Yarrowia lipolytica: one gene and its partners. The protein of the gene in region 4 interacts with the protein of the main gene of each other region in a pairwise test. Links are inferred from orthologs where the notes say so. Each region holds a gene or a part of one and is shown on either strand. Other genes may lie near its edges. The genes, in order: YALI1_B09708g, YALI1_B11607g, YALI1_A18286g and YALI1_F20820g.

The links.
Region 1: the proteins of YALI1_F20820g (region 4) and YALI1_B09708g interact in binary tests that used the Schizosaccharomyces pombe proteins (3 or more experiments, as listed by UniProt). The link is inferred for Yarrowia lipolytica from reciprocal best matches to the Schizosaccharomyces pombe genes rad51 and rad54.
Region 2: the proteins of YALI1_F20820g (region 4) and YALI1_B11607g interact in a two-hybrid assay, tested with the Schizosaccharomyces pombe proteins (2 studies listed by BioGRID). The link is inferred for Yarrowia lipolytica from reciprocal best matches to the Schizosaccharomyces pombe genes rad51 and pat1.
Region 3: the proteins of YALI1_F20820g (region 4) and YALI1_A18286g interact in a two-hybrid assay, tested with the Schizosaccharomyces pombe proteins (2 studies listed by BioGRID). The link is inferred for Yarrowia lipolytica from reciprocal best matches to the Schizosaccharomyces pombe genes rad51 and mex67.

Annotation. Positions count from the first base shown.
Region 1 is NC_090771.1:966,761-973,402, forward strand, and holds YALI1_B09708g (uncharacterized protein), read right to left. Parts: upstream 4,139-6,642; coding exon 1,715-4,138; downstream 1-1,714. Other genes in the region: YALI1_B09807g (uncharacterized protein), read right to left, coding at 6,431-6,642. UniProt on the Schizosaccharomyces pombe protein: Plays an essential role in homologous recombination (HR) which is a major pathway for repairing DNA double-strand breaks (DSBs), single-stranded DNA (ssDNA) gaps, and stalled or collapsed replication forks.
Region 2 is NC_090771.1:1,158,045-1,163,648, reverse strand, and holds YALI1_B11607g (uncharacterized protein), read right to left. Parts: upstream 2,900-5,604; coding exon 1,577-2,899; downstream 1-1,576. Other genes in the region: YALI1_B11625g (uncharacterized protein), read right to left, coding at 484-1,104; YALI1_B11593g (uncharacterized protein), read left to right, coding at 4,254-4,261, 4,326-4,521; YALI1_B11588g (uncharacterized protein), read left to right, coding at 4,564-4,698, 4,756-4,935. UniProt on the Schizosaccharomyces pombe protein: This protein is a negative regulator of both sexual conjugation and meiosis. It phosphorylates mei2. It blocks the onset of meiosis until conjugation takes place.
Region 3 is NC_090770.1:1,825,719-1,831,751, reverse strand, and holds YALI1_A18286g (uncharacterized protein), read right to left. Parts: upstream 3,161-6,033; coding exon 1,490-3,160; downstream 1-1,489. Other genes in the region: YALI1_A18315g (uncharacterized protein), read left to right, coding at 204-752; YALI1_A18273g (uncharacterized protein), read left to right, coding at 4,457-6,033. UniProt on the Schizosaccharomyces pombe protein: Involved in the export of mRNA from the nucleus to the cytoplasm.
Region 4 is NC_090775.1:2,079,813-2,085,121, forward strand, and holds YALI1_F20820g (uncharacterized protein), read right to left. Parts: upstream 2,251-5,309; coding exon 1,261-2,250; downstream 1-1,260. Other genes in the region: YALI1_F20831g (uncharacterized protein), read left to right, coding at 3,336-3,446, 3,500-3,610. UniProt on the Schizosaccharomyces pombe protein: Required both for recombination and for the repair of DNA damage caused by X-rays. Binds to single and double-stranded DNA, in the presence of magnesium, and exhibits DNA-dependent ATPase activity.

The DNA of each region.
Region 1 (6,642 bases), on a different chromosome or scaffold from region 4:
GATGGATAAATGGAGAGTTGAAAACCTCACAATGATTAGTTTCATATTATAATTGTGGAAATATATCTTTTGAAATCACGTGATTTGTAAAAGTTGTGCACGTTAATGAACATTGACGGAAAACTATAGAAAATGTGTCTAGAATGACGATTATTTGTTCAGTTGAAATGGAGGAGTTTGTAGAAAGATGTAAATGACTGGCGAGTGTTATTTTAATAATTAAATTTCAAAATCGGGCTGTTTTTCAACCATTTAGCTCTGGTTTATTATCTGCCAGAGTTCATATAGTAAATGCCAATGTCCGAACGCAAAGGGGAGCTGTGAGGATACATAAAGTGGGGAATGAATAAATAACGGAACATCTCATCAGATATGAATATTTTTTTGTAAGTTTTTCTGGTGAAGAATCTCTCTTTCACCCTCTTATATACTATCTCACCCTCTGACGTCTACAGCCATCATAGTATAGTGGTTAGTACACCACGTTGTGGAGATTGTGTCATCACAACAAGACCGTGGAAACCTCAGTTCGATTCTGGGTGATGGCAGAACCCCGAGTTCTCTTTTTTGTTTTCGTCTGTCGTCTCTCTCTCCGTCTGGTTGGTATCAATGCGTTTATGTTACTAAGATAACGGCAAATATTCTGTTGAATCTGAAGAGAAGTTGAAAAGATATACGACAGACATTTTATAAGAGTCGCAAGGAACACAACACCGTTTCAATGTTTCCAATAACTTGGATATTCCTTCTTTTGTATACATTTCTGGCGAACAGGGAGTGTGAAATTGTGGACGATTGCGGGAGAGTTGGGGAGGAACTTGGAAGGAATGATCCGTGGAGCTGGGTACTTATGATCAATTTCCTTGAGTATCTTCGAATCTGTCATGTGCTGACTTGAAGAGGTTCAAACTAATCTCATTTGAACATCGGTATACGACAGTACTGAAATGTACCGTATGGTATATATTAGTCCTCATTACTGGCGACAGAACCGCTATCACTCAAGAAATGATGACTAAAGCAGGTTAAATATCTTTTTATGAAAGAATCTCTTTGATCAGATATATATTGACTGAACTAGTGGCGTTTTGTTCCGTGCTCTGGGTATCTACATCGGATCACCAGTTGGGGAGGATATCGACATTGCAAAACCAACCGATTGATTTTACTAACTTGATTTACTAACTTGATGACGCTTACTAAGTCGATTTGAGAAGAGATCAACATGGTCTGAGCAATATTGATGGAGTTGGATACAGAATCAGAATCCGAAACATCTCTGGTGATAAATAGTGATATAGAGACCACGCTTCACGAGAACCACACTAGAGCTTTGTAGAGAGATTGTTCGTACCCAGCGACTTGAAACACTTCACAATGATTATTCATAACGGTATCTATTCTAATATATATGATATGCTTCAGTTCTCCCTGGTTACAGTACCGGTTGCAATACTTCACGAGTATTTACGTACCAACAGACCCACCATCCTCACCCCCTCCTTCAAAAACAGTACTATTGTTGAGGTGTGATATTCTTCTTGTCATAGGAGAGCCTTGACGACTCAACTACTACAGCTTGTCCATGTCTCCCAGGACGTGCACGGTAACATGCTCGTGCTTCGAACAACCTCGAATTCACATTCGCGAACCCACGCTCGCGCACGTTTCTCTCACTCGCGCCAGTAACTCGTGCCCATCTCCTTCGCGCACGCTAGTGAGAAATGTATTGGAACACAAAACTCACCTCGTCAAACTCCTCCTCCTGCCGCAGCAACAGATCCTCAATCTTCCCCATGGTTCCCTTGTAGTAATGGTTCCACGTGGTGGCGTCTCCATACAGCATGGCAGGAGCCCTCTGGTACTGCTTCCCTCCACGGCATCGTTTACACTCATACATATCGTGGGTGTTGCAAGGGGTGGCGTCATCGTACGAAAACAGCTCCCGCAAGTTGGACATGGAATAGTGCCGCTCCACGTCCTGCACCTCGTCAACCACACAGGTCGACAGGGACTGCTTCATGGACTGCCGCTGGAAAATCTTCTCCTCAATCGTGCCAGTAGCAATCAGACGGTAGACGAAACAGTCCTTCTTCTGGCCATCTCTCCATACTCGAGCGAGAGCCTGCTGATCTGCGGCAGGGTTCCAATCTGGATCCATCAAAATCAGACGGTTAGCTCCAATTAGATTCAAACCGCAACCTCCGGCCTTGGAAGAGAGCAGGAAAATGAACTCTTGGCCCTCGGGGTCGTTGAATTGAGTCACCAACTTGGCTCGTTTGTTGATGTTCATGGTTCCATCAAGACGAAGACACCCATACCGTCTCTGACGACACATTTTTTCAATCAAATCGAGAGTGGCCGTGTAATTTGAAATGATGACAATCTTGTCGTTGGTTTCAGCATTGATTGACCGCAACATCCGCTCGAGAATGAGAAACTTGGCGGAGAAATGCGGATAAATGTCGCGATCACGCGACCCTCGTTCGTCTGGCGGCGCATAATCGTCTGGAAACACCTTTCTGCATCCCTCAATTTCGTCCGGCAGCTTCAGCAGATCTGGATGATTGCACAGCTTTTTGAGGATACCAATGGCATTCAAAGTGGTGGTTCCTTCACTGCTCTTTTCACCCTTCAACAAAGATCTGGCCTCCTTGGACGTTCGAAATTGCACATAGAGCGACTTTTGGAACGGTGCGAGATTGCAGAAGACAACATGTTCGTATTTGACTGGCAGATACTTGCTCAGAATGTCGTTGGTACGTCTGATGATAAGAGGAGAGACAATAGAGGCCATTTCCAGCAGTTTCGCCTCGGCCTTCTCCACATCTTTATCCGTACCATCGGCATCTCTGCCCTTGAGAATGGGAATCTCGTAGTTCTTTCGAAACTCGCCTTTGGTGCCTAGCAGGCCAGGATTGGAAAAGTTCAGCAGCGAAAAGTACTCCAAAAGATCGTTCTGGATCGGAGTACCTGAGAGAATGACTCGACGCTTCACATTGAGCTGATTGAGCGCGGTAAATGTCTGAGAATCGCCATTTTTCAGTTTATGACCCTCGTCAGCAAGTAAAAGACCCACCTCAGAGTCGGCAATGGCACCCACCTGGCGTCGTAGTGTATCATATGAGATGATGAGCACCGGTCGTGTGACTTTGCGGCCCTCAGCCTCGGCCCACTGTCTCAGACCAGCCGTCAACTCAGCCGGTTTCTGAGACCCATCCACGGCATAAGGAACAACGACTCCCTCCCCGAGCCACTTGACAAACTCGGCGGCCCAGTTTCGCACCAGAGAACTGGGGCAAACTACAATGGCCTTGGAAATCGTGCCCTTGCCCTGGGGACTCTGTTTCAGCAACGTCCACAACAGCGCAATGCACTGAAGAGTCTTGCCCAGACCCATTTCGTCAGCCATGATGCACCCATGGGCCTTGGGGTTGATGAGGCCGGTGGTGGCGCGGTACAGAAATTTGACTCCTTCGACCTGGTGTGGTCTGAGGATTTTGGCGAGCTTGGGATCAATTACAACTGGCACTTCCGGATACTCTTTGGGCTTTTGTTTATCTCTGGGGGAGATTCCGAGGATTTCTGCGAGCGTGAGTTTCTTGGGTATTGTTCTCATCTCCTCCACCGTCTCCACATCTGTCTCCGACTGCGACAGGGTCATTTCGGTGGCGGTCTGGATATCCTCTTCGGTGACGGCATCTTTTACTCCGTCGACGGTAGGGTCGTACAGAACAATAGCAAACTCTCCCGCGGGGTCGTGCAGCGGTCGGGGCACAAAATCCACCGGTTTGCGCATCCCCAGCGCCGGAAAAGATTCCACAAAGTCGTCATTTCGGTTTTTGAACGGCACTCGGAAGTTTTGGTTCAGGACCGCCAATGGATCACGGCGAACGACAGCACCTCCGCCACGTTTCTCGGGGTCGTCAGATCGGTACACTGGCGCATCCGGATCGCCTTCCGTGTAGTTGACGGCCGTTCTGGCGCGTCTGGACGGCTGCCAGTTGGAGTTGTAGCTGGAGCCAGACGACGGCGCCGGGCGCTTGAACGGCTTATGTAATACATCCATGGGGTCCCTGGGGCGTTCTGCCGGCAATCCGTGCTCGCGAATCTGACTGGGAGCCTTGTTTCGTCTCATTTTGTAGTTGGGTGGCAACGGTGGAGAAGTAGAGAGTGTTGTGTGGATCAGGATACATATTTGACGCGCAAGGTTTGGGTAAATTAACAGACGCGTGGGACGCGGGGGACGCGACGGACGCGACGGACGCGATTTTGCGTGATTACTGTGATGTTAGCGATGAAAACGGACTGTGAACGTGATTCAACAAAACTTGGTTGTACAAGGATTTACGTAAGTCGTCAAATAGTAGTTTTTAAACGGCACGAAACCGTGACCCCTAAACCCAAGCAAAACACCTTACAAAAACGCTCCAAAAACACCAATATCGGTCACATTAGAAATATAAAAGAGTCAATGACTTCTCCAACGGGCTCAAAACAGGTTATTCCATACAAAATTCTTGGTATCTTGCCTCCATCGTCCTCATTTTCATTCCATCAGAACGTACAGTTGTGTCTGTATGTACGTATGGGCACTGAACTGAAATTGAGCCTCATTTGGAACAGAAAATTGTCACAGATTTGTGTGTAAAACGTCATCCAGTTATGAGAAGTATTTTGAACTTTTCCGATTCCTCTCAGATTTCCTCTCCGATGTATACAACATGATTTGTGGTGCAGTTTGCCATGTTAATTGATATTCCACCTTTGCCACACTCACCAACTAATTCTAAGTAAATGAGGTTGATATTAGAACGACATTACATGACCCCTAAACTATCCTTAACTATATCTAAGTAAATCTAGCACCTTGGAGAGATGGAATAATTCAAACCTGAGCATTGTAGTACAGTGAGTCAACATTCTATTTGGATTCATTTATATCTACAACGCATTCTAGCGGATTTCCTCAACTAATCTCCCGTATTCAGTTGTCTTGTAGATAGGCAGAAACCAATGAATAAAAAGGGTGATTCTGGTTGAGTACATCAAAACATAGAATTCTACGAGTAGGACCCGTATCCTATGTTTCTTTCATCAAAACATAGAATCCTACAAGTAGGAACCGTATCCTACTTGTTTTTCAACTGGAAAATGTCCAAGCAGTCAGTAGACAATCACGTCTCTGTTTGGGGTCTGGCAAGGGAAAGTCATCTAGTCTGGGTATAGGAAGATGGGACGATAGGAAGAAGCAAACGGCGAAGTTTCTTGGCCAATTGAGACAAGCAGAATCAGGTTTACGGAGTTGAAATAGTGAAATATAACGACTCAATGACGCACTTGTATCTGAGACTGTTACGGATATGCGGTACTCGTACTTAAACAAGTGACGGAATGATGAATATACTTATTAATATCCCCTTTTGACTGTTCAGCGAATCCTTTATAGCATGGTCTATTTATCTTGGTTCAAACTGTTTGATATAAGATATGATCTTCTCATAATGATCTGTCGTAGATGATGGTTGCACACTGAGAGGTCTGTTGACTGAGGAAAGGTCTTGAGCAGACATCTGACGGACGCTCAGCATAACCCAAGACATTGTTTTCCTCGACAGCGTTTTCCTCGACAGCGTTTTCCTCGACAGCGTTTCCCTCGACAGCGTTCCTCCTCACATCTTGACAAGCACCCCGTTGTCTACATCCGAAATGCCAAAGTCGTGCATGTGTGTTGCATCTGCGAGCACGTTAAATGTACAAGCATGTACGTATCATGCAGCAACATCTAACTGCAAGTACTGTAGCTACTTGAAGAATGACTTGATTTTGTGCCACCTTCTTCTTCTCTTACACAAACCACCAAAATCAAAGAAAACAGAAGAAAAAAACACAATACACGACCACTAACACACAGATAAACCTACACCACAAACAGGTGGACACACGCGGCGCACCGCACACCCGGATCACGACCGTGCCGGCTACACTTTGCATTTTACACAAAACGGAAGCAGGATACCACGACGAGGGCTCTGTACGGACTCTGACTCAAGTGTCGATGTGGAAGGGAGAACCGCACTGGCGGAGTCGACGTGTACCATGCGAAGCTGTATTAGTCATCACGAGCCGCAAGACTGTGGGTGGTGTGGTGTTGCATTGTGCCACCGAAATGGTTCTGTCTATCTGTCGCGCCATTTGTGGCTGTCAACAATCAGCCTCTCCGTAGCTCCACCATATTGACTATAAAATGACACTTCGTTTCATCGACAACCTCAATTCCCCCTCCATCACAGTGAGTATGCACTCATGATAACCACCACGACTCCTCTCACGACACATATCGTCATTCGAGTTCATATACTAACCCCAGTCTATCACCTACATCCACACACGCTACGTCCAGCTCAGCTACCATAAAAATACAATTCCATCAATAATACTTGTGGGGTTGCAGCGATTTGACGCTCTTTGCCGCCACGTGACGGAAAGTGCGGTAATCCTTGTCCTTGGGATTGAACTCCGCACATGCCGTGACGCAATCCAGCTCGGCCTCCCGGAGGCCCGCCTCCAACGTCTCGCGTCCTCGCGCCACCTGCTCGGAAATGTCAGGAATCGAAAACACCTTGCACACCACCTCCGTTA
Region 2 (5,604 bases), on a different chromosome or scaffold from region 4:
ACCATTAGTAAGACGAAATGTCTAGATAGGGACACAGATACAGTCATGGAAGTGCTCGGCGTTCGCGTGTGTGCGGGCGCATTTTGGGTACAAGTACGGGTATTAGCCACAGGCTTAGTGTCCGCAGTTAGTAAAGTAGCTGTGATGGTGCTGCTCCCAATGACGCCCAGGTGTGACGTAACTGCAGTAGCTGCCATGTCTCTGGTCTGGGGTGAACGTGAAACAAGTAGCTCGTGAATCTGATACAAGACAGCTCCGGTCCCGCTACACGACAGCCGCCCACTATACAGCTGTCTCAGTGTCCCTGCCTAAGTGTGATTGTGTTTGTTTGGAGCACAGAGACCGGGCTACCCCTGTCAGATGCCACCTCGGGGACGCTGACTACGTTTGCACCGTTCATGTCTCAAGTCTAACTCTCGGGACCGGCCACTGACACTCATTTGTCTCACTTGTCTCACTGTGGTTGCATCCTTCTCGTTTAGATTATTTCCCCGGCAACAGGCCACTTTTTTCACACCCCGAAGAGAAGCGGGGGATTGGCGAGCTTACAGCGTGGACATGTGAAGCTGTGACATCATGGGATCCGTACAGCGTGCCACCATGACTTGTAACAGGGCCATGTGGAACATATGGATGGGCATCCATACGACGAGCTACGGGACATGTTTCAGAGTCGGCGCGACTCACGTCTCGGCGTGCGGGAGATGGAGGCATGACATGAGGAGGGAGATGGACGATGGACAGGGAGGAGGTACAAGTAGGTGGATAGGAGGGAAGAGCGTAGCATTGTTGGGAAAAACGTGCTTGTACTCGAGATTGATACTTGCACAATGCATGAATAACGGTCTTCGGTAACAGTACGAGTACTGTGCGTACCCTACCGGCCCTACCGGTATGATCATAGCGCATCACGTACCGAACAAGACAGAGACGACCCAAGACACCAATAAGAGAGCCGTTTGATACCCCTCCACTCCATCGCACACCCTCGTCTCCCCGGAGTTGCAAATTTTTCCCACTAGCCAAAGGTAGACGAGAAATGACTTTGGCCAACCACGAGTAGAGTCTCCCGTACGGTTCCGAGTATATCCCATCTTGGGACATGCGATACGGCGTTCGGAATGAGTCCTAAAGACGATTTAATATTGCCAGAGTCGTCGATTGTGGTCGTATTGCGTATTCCGGGATATTCGGGAATTAATTTCTCACCGTGTGTCTCTTTATTTTGACCAGGATCCGAGACTCTAGAGTGCTTGTACTGCTGTACAGTATGTACGTACCGGTTCTTGTTCGATAAGATCGGCATATATCGGTCTCCTTAATACGATACGACAAGGTGTGGAAGTCTCTTGTTGGACGAGGCCCACTATTCCACCGATCGATGGAGCTAACGGCTCGTAAAGAGTAGCAAGCCATGAGCCGAGATGGACTCCTACTATCGTTCAAGTACAGATATCGTCCGCTACTGCCTCGTTCATACGGTTAGTCATTATCATTATCTATAAATATGTACATTAGCTGATTTGTTAGTAGAGCATTTTGGGTGGGGGGATATGCAATTAGTTGGTCCGTTGGTTTAGGCGAACAGTCGGGCTCGGGGGTCGCTCATGCCAAAGTCGAACCGGTCCACGTCGCTGGTATGGTTGAGCGAAAAGTGGAACGGCTCGTTCTCCTCGCTGCGTCGACGCTTGACGCCTCGATCCGACACGGCCGTTGGGGATACGTCGGGAGTGTAGGGCGTCGAGAAGATGGACGACGTGTGGCTGAGAGGCGATACACTGGAGGTGTGACTGAGAGGTGACAGGTTTGATTTGAGAGAAGGAGCAGGGAGCAGAGACACGGGAGACGTGGGAGGAATAGGCGCCTTGGTGTATGTAGGAATGGCAGAGGTTGCAGGCCTCTCCTCAGTGTCCTGTCCAAGTACAAACATGTCGCAGTTCTTGATCTGTTCTCGGAGCTGGGTGAGGCTGATTCTCGACTTGACATCGGCGGTGAAGATGCGGTTGAGAATGCCGGCAAACTCATCGCTAACAGGCAGGATCTGCTGCAGGAACGACGGGTCCTTGAGGTACTGGCGGTAGGCCTCGTCCGAGACGTGGGCCCGTTTCCAGGGGTTTCTGCCACAAAAGAGATTGATGGCAATAACTCCCAGGCTCCAGATATCGGCGGCAGCGTTTCCGGCATTGATCTGCTGCACGGACAAGGAGCTGTGGCGCTTGGTCTGTCGCTCGGGAGACATGTAGAAGGACGAACCGCACTGGGACACCTGTTGTCCGGATCGTGAGGCCAGGCCAAAGTCTGCCAGCCGAATGCAAGTGCCTCCCTCGGCCACGAGAATATTTTCTGGCTTAAGATCGCAGTGGAAGACGCCCTTGTTGTGGGTGTAGAGGACGGCCTCGAGCAGTTGGAGCAGGATGATCTTGGCACTGGGGGCGTAGGTCTGGAACATGCCCCGGTCGACAATAGCGGTGAAGAGGTCGTCCTCGCAGTGCTCCAGAACAATGTAGAGACAGTCGCTGGCCTCGTAGACGGCGTACAGCGACAGAATGTAGGGGTGGACCTGGACATGGTTATGGAGGGCGATTTCTCGGTAGATGTGGGATGCGTTGTGGTTGAGGGCCGCCAGAGAAACCTGTTGGAGAGACAGCTTGTGGGCGTTGATGACCTGGCCGCGGCAGTCGTTCAGTTGCGAGCGCTTGCCAACCACCTTGACTGCGTATCGTTTGCTCGAGTAAATGTCAGTGGCTCTGTAGACGGTGCCATAGGCTCCAGTTCCGATCACCTCTTCCAGCCGGAGGTTTCCGAGTCGGGCGTTGAGTTTGTGCATGCTGAGAGAGGGTCTGTGTCGATTCGGGTCGAGGTATCTGTTGCACGCACTCTTCCGACCGGTCGTCTCCATATATATGACCAAAAAGAAGGTGGTAGTCGCCCCCCATGGGTCTTGCACCCGAAAACGCTAATCGGCGCTAAGTCTAGGGGGTATGACAAGGGCCTTTCAAAAAAGCGAGAAGTCTAACTCAGATTCCCCGTGTACAGTGGACCAGAGTGCATGGTACATGGAGAGACGACCGTTGGGATGTGAAACCGGTCTTGAGCAGCACGCTAGACCTTTAGGCCGGGTGTGGAAGGGCTAGGGGCCCGGGGAAACGGGACCACGGGAGATCACCAAGGGGGTTCGAGTGTCCCCGAATTGATTCCGCCTGTTTCCTGCCGTTTTTTGTCGGTCTCTCGTCTATGTACAAGAGCCCTCCCCCCGTTGATATTGTCATTTCCTTGTGCGTATCGACGGGCCTTCTCCCCCTTTTTTTTTTTTTGGCTCAATTTTTTTTTTTTTTTTGGCAATTTCAGGGCCTTTTGTTCGCCCGCTTGTCTTTTTCCTTTTTTGCCAATCTCCCACCGTCAATTTAACACTGACGGCAGCACTCTGCAGATCGTCATGGCCAAATAATATCGGCTCCCTGAGGCTCGAGTAAGAAAAAAATAAAAAATATTTCACCGGTGAATGTACAAAATACCAAAATACGCAAAAAGAGACGAATATGGGCAAAAATAGGCAAACACCCAGCACCACAAGGACCAAAACAATGCACCGGGACGGCCTGGAGCACGTATCCCGCGCAGCGAGATTCGCCTTGTGGCTGCATCGTGTTTTGGCGGTCTCTTTACCCCGGGGGAAATGTGCCGTAACGAGGGTTTTGAGCCATGCACATCCACGTTGATAGTCGGTCTTGAATCTGACATTTTGCCACACTATAAGCCATTAGCCCCTCTCGTGTGCCTCACCCAGGTACCTGAAAGCACACTGTATATATGTATATATGCCCAAACAACGCCACCGCAAAGAACTGTACCTGAGCTGGTACACGACGGCTCGTACAGGTCGTCCGCCAACTGGAGATTTGCTGCTTCCCGATGCTCACTTATCCAACATCATGCGATTTTCGCATTCCGTAATAATATTATCTGGGAGAGTGCAGCGACAAGCCCCCTAAAATGCACATGTAATTAAAGGGGGTTACGGGCCAGAGGGAAAAGAAAAAGCGGGAAACCGAAAAATTGAGAGAGCCTAATTTGGCAAACCTACTTTAAAGTGCCCAACCTAACTGGCACCGTACACACGCCCATCAGTCCCGCAGTCTCTCTTCTCACCTACATACAGTCTCAGTCACTGGATCAAGGTCTCACTTTTGAGTGTTCCCCCGAGCGTTTGAGCTTGAGAATGTGAGTCTGTAGAGCTCATCGGCGGCGTCGGAATGCGAGCGTTTCTCCCAGCGGATACGAGACCCAGAATGCAGCTGCTCGCTCGGGCGAATCACAGCCCTTAGGCACGTCATCTCCTTCAGCCCTACCTGCCTGTCACAGACTCGACAGACACATGACACACAAAGCTTCGGTCATTCAGTCACTTTATCACACGTCCGCGAGATGCATATACTTGTGCTTGCGCTTGCACTTGCACGCTACTTGCGTAGAGCGGGGGAGGAGCGGGGAGACGCTCAACAGTGCTCAACAAACATGTGATAGTAGGCCGTTGGCCGTTTGGGTGTGACCGGCGCCTTGTTAATGTCACATTGTGTTCTTGACGACATGCCCTGTCTCAATCCTATCACTATAATAGAGGTGGAATCCATTACATCTATTGTATGTACTGTAACTACGGTTTGCAGCCCCAACTTGGGAGGCCCAGTGCAACCTTCAGTATCGTACTCTAGCTAAAGCACTGAACGGCTTGAATGCAGGCTTCAGGCGTGCTAGATAAGGCGTATTGGGTTGTTGCCGTTGCGTGGCAATTGTCCTACAACCTGCTATTACAAGCTGATCTTTTGCGACGAGTCATTTATCGACAGCTCAACGTCTACCCATCATCCACCTTCCAAAAGGAGTAATAGTGCCATCTATAGATGGTGGGCTATGATCGTGGCCACTACAATGTAGTAGCTCCTAATCATCAACTGTGGATCGTGTGCCATGCACCTAATTACTGTAATTAGACAACTGCCCGGCGGTGTTATCAGACAGCACGACGATCTTATATAATCAGCCAGCCCATGATGCCTGCCACAAAAAACAGCCAAGAGACAGCCATGGTCCACTAACCCTCATTCAAACTCTCGTCGTACCCTCTTTTCATCCTCCACCTGGCTCAAGTCGTTTCTTTTTGCGACCACGGCCCATGTAGATGCGACCGCTGATCCATGCATCCCCGCGAAGCGGGCCAGCCCAAGGTGACAGAGATGGAACTAGCACATGCCACATGACCCAGCCGTCACGGGGCGTTGGCGGGGGTTCCAGGGTCTATGGTGTAGAATAAAGTCGTTTGCTTGGTGCAATCTGGGGGGTCATTGTATGTACCGACGTGCCAGTGCAAGCGGTGACGTCACAGTGGAGCCATAAAATCCGGAAAACAGGTCATGAGACAGAAGGGGAAGAGTAATCAGTCGATTTTCGACGCGTATTGTCGATATTATTGCCCGTTCAAGCAAGGGATCGTTTTTCTGGCCCGCCAGCGTATTTTTCTGGAGTATTTTCCGCCGTATTTTCCAATTAATTTCAGTCCTGCATGCACTCCACCTTTGAAGAAGTTACAAGCCATATTGGCGATCA
Region 3 (6,033 bases), on a different chromosome or scaffold from region 4:
GAATCAGCCCAAATGTTGCAGACGGATATAAAACGACACAAGGAGATTCATTGCCAGTTTTGATCGTTTTATCACCCCTACAGCAGTTTCTACGAACCCATTAAATTCAGCTCACTAATACAATAGTAACTCAAAATTACCTTCACCAGTCGCATCTCCAACATGCCACTTCTGTCACCTCCACACATTCACACACAACAAACATGAACGGCATACAAGAACAACAAATGACGCAGCTTTACCTGCCGCAAACTGAGGACCTGATGCAGCTGCACACCATGCTTAGTCAGCTTCAGATTGCGCTCAAGGACAACGAAGAGGTGGTGGAGAAGTTGATTCGACAGGCCGACAAGTACACGCTTTCAGATGTCATGGAGGAGGTTGAAGCGACCAATGACAGCGACAGCGACGAGTATTTGCCGTCGACCGGCGACTCGGACGCCTTGCTCGACTCACAGCTGTCGAAAAACGCGTTTTTGAGGACCCAGGTGGCTCAGCAGACAAAAACCAACTCAGAGACATTACAGCTTGTGTCGGAGTACAGAAAAGGCCTGGGATCTTGTCTGGATGTGGTGCGGCAACTGGCATGGGAAAAGACGGTTCGAAATATCAATTTGCATCGAGATTTGCAACCAGGATATTTCGAGAGGAATCAGCAGGTGGATGCCATGCAGGTGGAGAATGCGGAGATTAGAAGAGAGATTGAGTTGGAGGTGAATCTGTTGAGAAAGTTGGTTAGGGAAGGGTGTTAGCGAACAAAAAAAGTGAGCGGAAGCTGGCTGGTTGAACAGAAGCTGGCTAGCAGAAGCTGAGCAGAACTTGCCAGGCATTGGAACCCCTTCTGTACGCACATGATACGAGGAGATGTAAGCACCTATCCAGAGTATCCACAGTACGAGTATGAGTACCTGCTCCTCCCATGAAACTCTCTCATACAATATTTATAACACACCAAAGTGTGTATTTATTCTAATATACGGATTGTAGATTGTGACCCTTGAACACTGTAAGACCAGGGTCACAAATCATCTACAAGTAGACGAAAGAAAATTGCTCAGAATGGAAATATAGATACACAATTGTGTGGCTCTCAGCACAAGCATCATTTTGGTGTATATATATTTACAACTTTCTATACAAAAAGTTGAACTAATCGAGTACAACGGAGCCAAATGAAACATACTACAAGTACAGTACTTGTAGAGATAATCCTTGATCCAGAATCCAAATTAGGTCACGTGACCACATAAAAATGTGTCTAGGATCGCTTCACTTGCCTATCTACAACTACTCACACATGTTCACACCAAAGATTGTTTCAATTGATCAATAAATTACTTTTACATGTTTGGCAGGATATGCTCATTCATTTCAAATTAACTACATGCTTGTGAGAGCGTAGTGTATGCGGTAATACATACGGTACTCTGTTTGCTGTCTCATAATGCACACACGAATGCCTCCTGTCTCCTGTACGGTTGGGCCCCGGTTAAGACATAAACGCATCTGGGGGCAACGAGCCTCCCTCCTGGGCCTGTTTGAACAATGCCATGGTCTGTTCCGGAACAAATCCGGCCTGCTCAGCACACATTCGCGCGTACCTTGCATTTAGACGGGTGGCTTCCATGAGCTGTCTGACAATGAGAGCCTGATCGGGGTTGAGACCGGCAAAGTCGTCCCCAGGAGCTCCACCAGTTGCTCCAGTCATGGCTGCACTGGTCCATCCGTCTTTTCCGGCGTAGGATCTGACCATGAGAGTATCGGAGGCGATGATCATACTTCCGTTGGGGCCAGGGAGAAGCACAAACGTTCTGTCGAACGACCGGGTGTCGCTCTTGTTGCCAATAATGTTTTCCTCGTACTCGCCGTGCACAGACGCAAAAATGGCTGTGTCTTGCGGCTCTCGCACACCATTGAGAGTCCATGCGTCAATGGCAAACTTTGAGGGGTCTCCGAGATCGTGTTTCGTCTTAGGCAGGCGAGTAAAGGCTCTTCCAATCTGTTCAGGACCCACATAGAGTCGGTTGGTTCGAGCCGAGGCTGTGGTCACCTTGGTCATGTTTCGTGACAGCGGAATGTATTGGCCCCAGGGAGGCTGACCGAGACCCTTGACCATTGTTCGGGGTGTGTTTGAGCAGATGGCGACCGAGAAAGTCGATTGTGGGTCGTACAGCTGCAACAGCTGCTGTCGGTCTGTGTCGTAGAGCTGGAAGTAGTTGGCGAGAAAGCCGCCGACCATTTGCTGGATGTTGTCATTTTCAAAAAACGTTTGCCGTAGAGGGATGGGGTACTTGACTTTTCCAATCTGCGACTCGTCTCGAATCACATGGCTGTCCAGAACAATGAGCCTGGGGAACAGCTGCGCCACCTGCTGCTGGTAGTCGGGTTGGTTGGTGATGGGGTTGCCCACAAGGACCAATTCTCGCAGCGACTTGAACTTGTGTCTCCACGACTCGAGGTCGGTGATGCGGGCAATCTGGTTGTTGGCTAGCGACAGATTCTTAAGCTCCGGATACGTCTGAGACAGCGTCGTGATGCCGGCAATGTCGCTGATGCTGTTGTGGCCCAGATCCACCGAGTCCACCACGGGGTAGGTGTCGCCTGCAATCTTGAGCAGCGCCAGAAACATCTTTGATCCTCGCTCAGTGGTGGCCAAAAGGCCATTCTCAATCAGATACTGGTCCTGGCCCATGCCTGCAAGGTTCAGCAGCTTGTCCTCGGCGCTGTATCTGCTTTCAAGGAACCGTTTGAGCGTTTCGATCGTGGACTGCGCAGCAGCCGAGGGTCCATCTTTGACTGTGATTTGCAGAGCCTGGCCTGCAAACCGGCGCCCGGACCATTGTCCAATCGCACGGGCGTCCGTGTTTTTGACTCGGGCCTTGATCACGTCGCCATCCACGTACGGGTTCTGCAACCGGAACCCGCCCTTGTCCTGGAGAAACCGTACAAGATCGTCCTTAGGCGCGTTCGTCCACCCTCGGACCTCAATGTCCGTCAGATTGCTGTTGTTGCTGTTGTTGTTGTTGTCGCGGCCGCCGCTATTGTTGTAGCCGCCTCGGCCTCGTCCGCGTCCTCGATAACTCATTGTTTGTGGTGGTACTGGTGAAACGAAAATGAAAATGCACGCCAATTTAAAAAAGTGTAGTTTTTGCTTGTGCATGAGAATCGAGACCTGCGCCAAATGTCCTTGTAGAAGCAGTGGGACGTGTCTAGAGTCAAAAGAGGGATAATAATTCAGCTATTTGACGCTTGAATATCAAGGGTATCAATTTTCACGCCCAAAAACAAACATTTCCCCAAGTAAAAGATCAGTTTCAGTTTCAGTCTCCACTAGATTTAAACTCGTAGTTGAAATATTGTCAGGGTTAACCAGAAAAAGAAAAATAAATAAAAATAAATAAAAAGAAAAACAAAAAAGTCGAGAGAGAAAAAAGCGAGAAAAAAGCGAGAAAAAAGCGAGAAAAAAGCGTGAAAAAAGAAAAGAATGCAAGTTGAAATATGGCTGATAACGCGACGAGCTGATAAATGTCCTGCTCTGAATTAATTGAAGAGAATACCAAATGGGTGGTATAACTCGAAGACTTCATTATATAGCCATACGTCAACCATAGTAAATGTAAATACAGTACAAACCTACATACAGTTGTAGGGTTCACACTGTACTATACACCCACTATCAAGACTGGACAAACTCCGTCAAAGTTGATCCGGTTCCAATAAAAAACTCATAAGGAGAATAAGTTGGCCATTTCAAACAATAAGATACCATATAACCCTGGAAAAGTTCGCTCTCCAGGTCTCCATCACTCTCCCTATACACACTCACATACTCGTACTAATCCAAATTCAAACCTCCTCGGAAAAGTCAATCAATCACGCTGGAAAAACACCTTATGAGATGTGATTCCTACGTCAAAAACACAGGTTAGGACTGTTTCGTCGTATTCCATCCCCGCTGCATGACTCGCAAATTCGTCCTGCTCTCGTCTTTTCTTCAGACAGCAAAAACTTGCCCATCTACAAGTACAGTACAGTACAGTACAGTACATACATACATACGCGCGCGCCGCCATTGCAAGCAGGATGAAGAAGAGGAGGACGAGGAGGACGGAACGGCGTGGAGATGTGGGGCACCTGGTCTACAAGTGCGGCCGTAATGTGTTATACATTTGGTCACACGACTTCCCAGACCCGGTCATGTCACAATTGATTCTCAGGAACTCGTGTTTTCGCCTTCTGTCCCCAGCTCCATGTCCATCTGAGCTACAATGAATAATAAACTGAACTATATAAATTCACACTTTTTTATATTTTATATTTTTATTCCACCCTGTTCTTGATCTACAATGCAACCCTTACCCTTGAAAAGTAGTGTGCGATTGACCACAGTATAAGGGGGAAGGAGGGAGCCTCAGAAACAAACAGTCACGTGAAATCAAGTCACGTGACAATACACATGACCAAAAAAACAACAACACCGCCTATTCCCATAAAATTACTCCAGTCTGTTCGCCATTTCTACTCCTCCTCCACCTACTGTATCTACTTTGCCAAACCTTACTTTAACTACACGTCACACTCCCAACCACAGTTGTCATCTACAGACTGTACATCACACATCTTTGGTTCTTTCCACAACACAGACTCAAAAATGCCTTCGTACTCTTATGACGAAGAGTCGGACGTGTGGCCATACTTTGCGGTCACGTTGGGCTCACTGGTGCTAGTCCCCTGGACTCTCAGTGCCGTCTATCCGGTTCTGTGTCCCCCCAAGACCCAGGCGACTCTTCCCGAGGGCGTGACACCATTCCGTCCCCCCCATGCGGCGGACATTGACTCGTTCCAGAGCAAGCAACGGCGCGGAAAGCTGCTGTCCAAGCGCAACGTGGCTCTGGTTGCGGGGTGGGCGGCTCTGATTGGAGCGCTGGTGTTCATTTCACAACAGGAGGTCAAGGTCAAGGCCGACACGTTTGATCCGTACGAGATTCTGGGCGTGTCCTTCTCGGCCACAGAGAAGCAAATCAAGAGCCACTACAAAAAGCTGTCGGTCAAGCTGCATCCCGACAAGATCAAGCTGGTGGCTAACCAGACCATGGAGCAGGTGGAGGACGCGTGGGTCCAGATCACAAAGGCCTACAAGGCGCTGACAGACGAAGTCACCCGAAACAACTTTCTGGAGTTTGGCCATCCTGACGGCCCCCAGCAGACCGACCACGGTATTGCTCTGCCCAAGTGGCTCGTGGAGGGCCAGGGCTCTCCCTTGCTCATTGGTGTCTACGCCATTGTCGTGGGAGTCATCCTCCCCTACACCATTGGCAAGTGGTGGACCGGAGTCAAGTCCTACACTCGTCGTGGAATCCACAACAAGACCGCAGCCCGGTTCTTCTCCATCATGGCCAAGGAGCAGCCAGACTACATCACTCACAAGCGAATCCTGGAGGCCGTGTCCGAGGCCGAGGAGTACCGAATCAACTTCCCCGAGCTCACCAGCAAGCAGGTCTACGAGCTTCTAGACGACTACCTCCACAGAAAGGCTTCTTCCAAGCCCGCCGCTATGCTGGGCGTGGCTGCTTTGGCCCCCAAGCTGCTGGATGGCTTTGCCGACATTGCCATCGAGTTCAAGCCTCTGGAGGTGGTTCAGCGAATTATTGAGGTTCAGCGAGCCATGGTTCAGGCCGTTTCTCTCGACCATCTTCCTCTTGGAGAGATGCTGCAGCTCCCTCACGTGGACTACGAGCAGGTGACCAAGAATGCCAAGGGCTACGGTACCGGCTCCATCCTGGGCTTCAAGGATGCCCAATTCAAGGAGATTCTGGGCGTCGACAAATCTGATATTACATCGGTCAAGAACACCGCCAACGCTGTGCCCAAGATTGATATTGTGGATGCCTACTTCAAGGTGCCTGGTGAAGACGTGGTGACCCCCCAGTCTGCTGCCCATCTTGTTCTACGAATCCGGGTGCGGCCATTTGGCACCAAGCGACCTCTCAACATTGATACCGCCAAGCTCAAGCATGATCTGCATCTCGACGA
Region 4 (5,309 bases):
ATGATAGTCTGAATCTGTGGTGGGTAAGGTGCGGAACTTCTCAGAGACAATCCGTTCATAAGATCTGAATGACAATATAAGTTGTGGAATCGAAAGAGTAATATGCAATTGAGACTGTCGTAGCTAACTGATATATAACATCATCATTGTCATTGTCCATACTGCACAGCTGGCTATGTACAAGTACATACACACAGTGTACTGTTGCATCTTCTACTGGGCTATTAATGACCATATGACCATACGGATATGGTAGATTGTAGTTCAAAAATAGTTTTCAGTTGTACTTAGTAACCATATATTGTCAAATTCCGAGTAATTCACCATTAATCACTGGGGATAGCCGTTCTTCAAGACAGTACCAAACGTCGCTGTGATTTGGTCTAGACCTTCACAATCTCGGTATCTTAAAAAATTCAAATTGCACTTGATATTAAATCCATTGCTATCTACAATGTACAATTCCCCTATGATCAAAACTGGAGCGGTTTTTTCATATATAACATTACAGTGTTTTTTTTAACTTGTAATTTTTTTTTTACTTGTTTTTTTTAACTTGTATTTTTTTTTTTACTTGTTTTTTTTTTATTTTTTTTTTGTTCTAGGGAATACTCTACAACTTCTCGAGGCCTATAAACAATGGTATACCAGCACATCGGTTTCAGATTCAACTGTTCTGAAGAGCACATGACCCTCGTGTTCGCTTGTCCACCTGTTCTTCCAGTTCCATATCGAAATACGGCGTTTTTTTCGGTGTGATGCTCCAAATTCGAGATCAAATACCGGTGTCCTACCCGGGACACATCGAGGGCGTCTGGTGTAGTTGGTTATCACATGCGCTTAGCATGCGCGAGGTCCCCGGTTCGATTCCGGTGTCGTCCATTCTTTTTTGCTTCTCTCGTGATATATTGTTTCTCTACTGGTTCCTGGGCTGTCTTCACCCTGGCGTTATGATCTGCTGACTCAGCGGTCGACTCTCGTTTAGTTTAGGCTGTGTGATGTAGTAGTCCTTATTGCGACGAATTTTGCAGTGTTGAGATAATATTTTCCATAATATCAAATAATTGGAGATCAAAGATCCCTTCTTCCTTTCCATGAACTCTTACCGAGTTGGTTGTAAGCACGATGTTCGCAGAGACCATTCCCGTCGACTCAGGTAATCAAAATGGGACCATGATGTGGTCGAGATGCTCGCTACAGTCTCGAAATGATTAAATAAAATGGGTCTCACTATTTACTGCAACCATTGCTTTCCCTCGCCTACTCCTCATCCTTGGGGTCTCCGATTCCATCCTCATGAATAGCAAAGACACACTCGCTTTCTGGCAGACAGGGCGAGTCGTAGATCTTGCAGATTCGCTGCACTCCTCGGCCCTTCTTGAAGTAGAGCCGGGTGGTGGACGCATGAGCCACAATGTTTCCTCCAATGGGCTTCTTGGGGTCCGGGTTGAACACAGCTCCATCCACCTGGGCAACCACCTGGTTGGTGATCACCACTGCGATGCCAAACTCATCGGCAAGGCGTTGCAGGGTTCGCATGAACTTGGCCACGTGGGTCTGACGGGCAGACAGCTCTCCTCGTCCTGCGTAATCTGTTCGGTAGAGCGCCATGATGGAGTCGACAATGAGACACGAGAACCGCGACTTGGTCATCATGTTGGCCGCCATTTGCAGCAGCTGCATCTGATGGTCCGAGTTGTGGGCTCGGGCGTATGCCACGTTGTCCAGCACCTCGTCTCCGTTGAGTCCGTATCGCCGGGCAATCTGGTGCAGACGTTCGGGACGGAAAGTGCCCTCTGTGTCAATGTACAGACACTTCCCCTCGCCTCCTCCCTGATCGATGGGAAGCTGACAGGTGACGGCCAGAGTGTGGCACAGCTGCGATTTTCCCGTTCGGAACTCACCAAACATCTCTGTGATGGCTCCGGTCTCGATACCGCCTCCCAGTAGAGTATCCAGTTGCGACGAGCCTGTGGTTAGTGTGATGAGTCCAGAACGGGTCTGGTGCACGTCTGAGGCGGTGGTGAATCCCAAGGGCACCAGTTTGGACGCCTCTGATAGCAGCTTGTCGGCCTTGGCCTCACTGATGCCCTTGATGGTCAGCAGGTGTTTTTTGGGCGTGTACGCCACACTCTCCACTGTGTAGAGTCCAAACTCGCCCAGGCGGTTGATATCCGTCTGGGTGATTCCGTTGACGGCCAGGCGCTCGATGGGGATGGCGCCCGCTCGTTCGATTTCTTCGTCGGCCATTTGAGGGTGTGTTTTGCGAATGTCGCGGCAAGATCCCCAAAAAAAAAAAAAGACGTGTTGTGTCTTGACTAGAAAGGAAGTCTAATTTACTGAAAGTGGTGGCGCGTGCGTTTTCGTGTTGCAAAGTATATTGGGTGGCGTCAAAACAGAGCATTCGGACGGCATCCAAAAACGTCAAATAACGGGATAGAAAAAGCTGACTAATCACATAGCTGCCAGTAGGGGTATCCTGAGTCTCCTTGAAGCGGATTTCCGCCCATCCCCACCTTTAGAGGCTTACAATCGAGTCTGGCCCGTGGAGAACCGCGGTTTACGTCGTCGTTATTAAGCTGTACGTCGACGTGCACATTTTATGCATGGGGTGGATCAGGCACCGCTGAACCGAGAATTACGTTTCTCACGCTGAGATTCCCTGAAGGAGATCATCTCCCACAATGTCATATCTACGACGGAGACGATATCCGCGACAGGGGAATCATGCGACGAGGCTTCCTATACCACTGATTCGGAACCGCGAGGGGCTGGAAAGAGGGTGAGAGAATATAAGAATCTTACTGGCAGACGACACATTCCCAGCGACAGGAGACGCTCTCGGAAACGTCCGTACTCGGTTCACGAAATGGACGAATGGTTCCCCGAAGCTGCCTGCTAAATCAACATTCCTGGTGCTCGCAATGCCGCAGGCGACAAGGAAGTTTTAAGACACCTCAATAAAACAGGTTATCACGCCCAAGCCCTTATGAGAATGAGCAAAACGCTTGACGATATCAAGGGCTGCAGTTTTCCATACCTCGATTACATGATCAGGACCAAGAGTTTTTCTGAAGTGGTCAGCAATGCCCAACTTGATAAACCCTTCGCAAAACGGATTGGTTGTGTGTGTATGGACCGAATCTTGGAAGTTCAGCACGGTTACAGGTCCATCTATAAAATGACAGGAGAGATGCCATTGGATTTTTGGTTTACCAGGGTACTACAAGACTCTCAGTTCGGGCTCATCCAGTTCAAGACTCACTCGAAGATACGGAGGCTGTGTTGAAATCTTGGGCTACGTTTGGAATGCCTTGTGATATTCCAATTCTACAATGCTGATAATACTTGGTGATACTGAACTTCGACAATGTCAACTGGGTGGTAGTCACTGGGTGGTAGTCAAATCAACTGGGTGGTATGGTCATCTGGGCGAAAAGCAGCCTGTGACTGCAAAAAGGGTGGACCAACATATACGGTAATGATGTGAGGTATTCAGACGGATCCAACAAGGTCACACCGACAATTTATGGCAATAGGCATTGTCCTAGGTGGTCTTCATCGTTCCATCACTCCCCCACAACGAGAATGCTCCTCGGGGTCCTGCTGAACGTGTGAGGCAGAAGTCAAGAAGGAGTGCAGGGAGCAGTCATAGAGGGTTCTGGAGCTTCAGGCTGAGCTCAATGAGCTTGACAAGCTTAGATATCAGCCCCACAAGGCCGCCCCGAGTGGTTCGACAATGAAGCAGGATAGTTACAGGTACACAAAGGACTAAATTCCAGATCCAAGGCAGAGCAAGTGTACCCGGCTGCAAGGATAAATGGTAAGCTGGAGAAACTAAAGTATGCCAGGCTCAGTGAGTGTAGATCAGAGCGTCCCATCCAGAGTGAGGTTGTTGAGCCTTCTGGGGGTCGGCGTACTTTGTTCAGCAGCGAGCTTCTTGTTCCATTGAGCAACAAGGGGGCAGGGCAGAAACTGTGAGGGTGCTAGAATCCTCACTTGCTGAACAGGAGTTTGCCATTGCTGAAATCAAATATGAGAGACTGTCATCCATCAGAAAACCCACCTGGTATCCTCAGCCAACTTCTCGATCCTCAAAGTGTCGAGATTCTGCAGAGCGAATTGAAGCGGCAGACAATTATTCTGATCTCGATAAATCTCAGAAAGAGCTAGCAGCCAACCGGAGCAAGCTGAAATCCTGCGAGATCGATCATGCAGGGATTGACGAGCTAAGGGCTCAGGGAGGTCACCAAGATGCCATTGGAGCGAATGCGACTGTTTGCATTTGATCATTTGGATACCCCGAGCCTCATGGGTCCGGATCGCACCATGAAGTTCCGATACTATCAGCAGAGTAGTGATTGGATGGAGCTCGCACCACCGCAATGGGGTTTCTCATGATGGACTTCACAAAAGATTTCCTCCACCAACAGAGCTGCCATTCTGATAAACAATGTTCAGTTTCACCATTGAGTCTGGTTTTTGCTGGTCGAACCCTGGCTTGAATGTGAAAGATCTAATGACATTGTTCTTGACTCCGAACTCACGCAGCCTCAGCACGAGTTTTCCAGCCTGACACCATTGGTTACATTGCCCAAGTTCAATTGCCTGTTCAAATCATGTCACGATATGCCTGCCGATGTGATTGCCAACTACTTCGGGCACCAGTTCGTCAAACCGACCGCAAACATCCAAAGACGGAAGGGTCAGGTTCCCCCTCTAGGTGTCAATCCTGTGCAACAGAACCTGCAAGCAAACGAAGGATACAGCCGGGGCATGTTCTGGGCTGCCATTGAGGTTCCAGTCGTGTATGATGATGGTGAGCCCCTTCGTTATGGTAGACGCTATACCGTGAGGGTAGGAGGTTTCGATCGTCTACTTCTCCCCGTAGAACCAAAGACACAGAGCGTAAACTGAGTCCAAGAGACGACAGCGACCAGTTGTGAGCGCAGCGCAAGGCACCGCATATAACTACTACTAAACGAAAACGCGTTGATAACAGCGTGGTAGAGCTCAATGCTGATCCAGAGGATGAAAGATCTGTTGACCTTCAACCTCAGTCCCAGCTGCTGCGAGATCCAATAGATGTTGCTGAGATCCTGTCGAAAGTACACTGACGTCGAGGTGCCGTGCTCTTGTCGGCGACACCAATGTTCCTGACTTGCCCATGTCATCGGAATCTCAGACGACCTCTGATGTCGATGTCTCAGTCGCGCCATTGGAGGAAAAGACGGTAATCCCAACTGTCTATTTCTTATCCCTCCCTGGAAGACGATATGGCCTCAAACATACCCAGCAAAATACCCAGC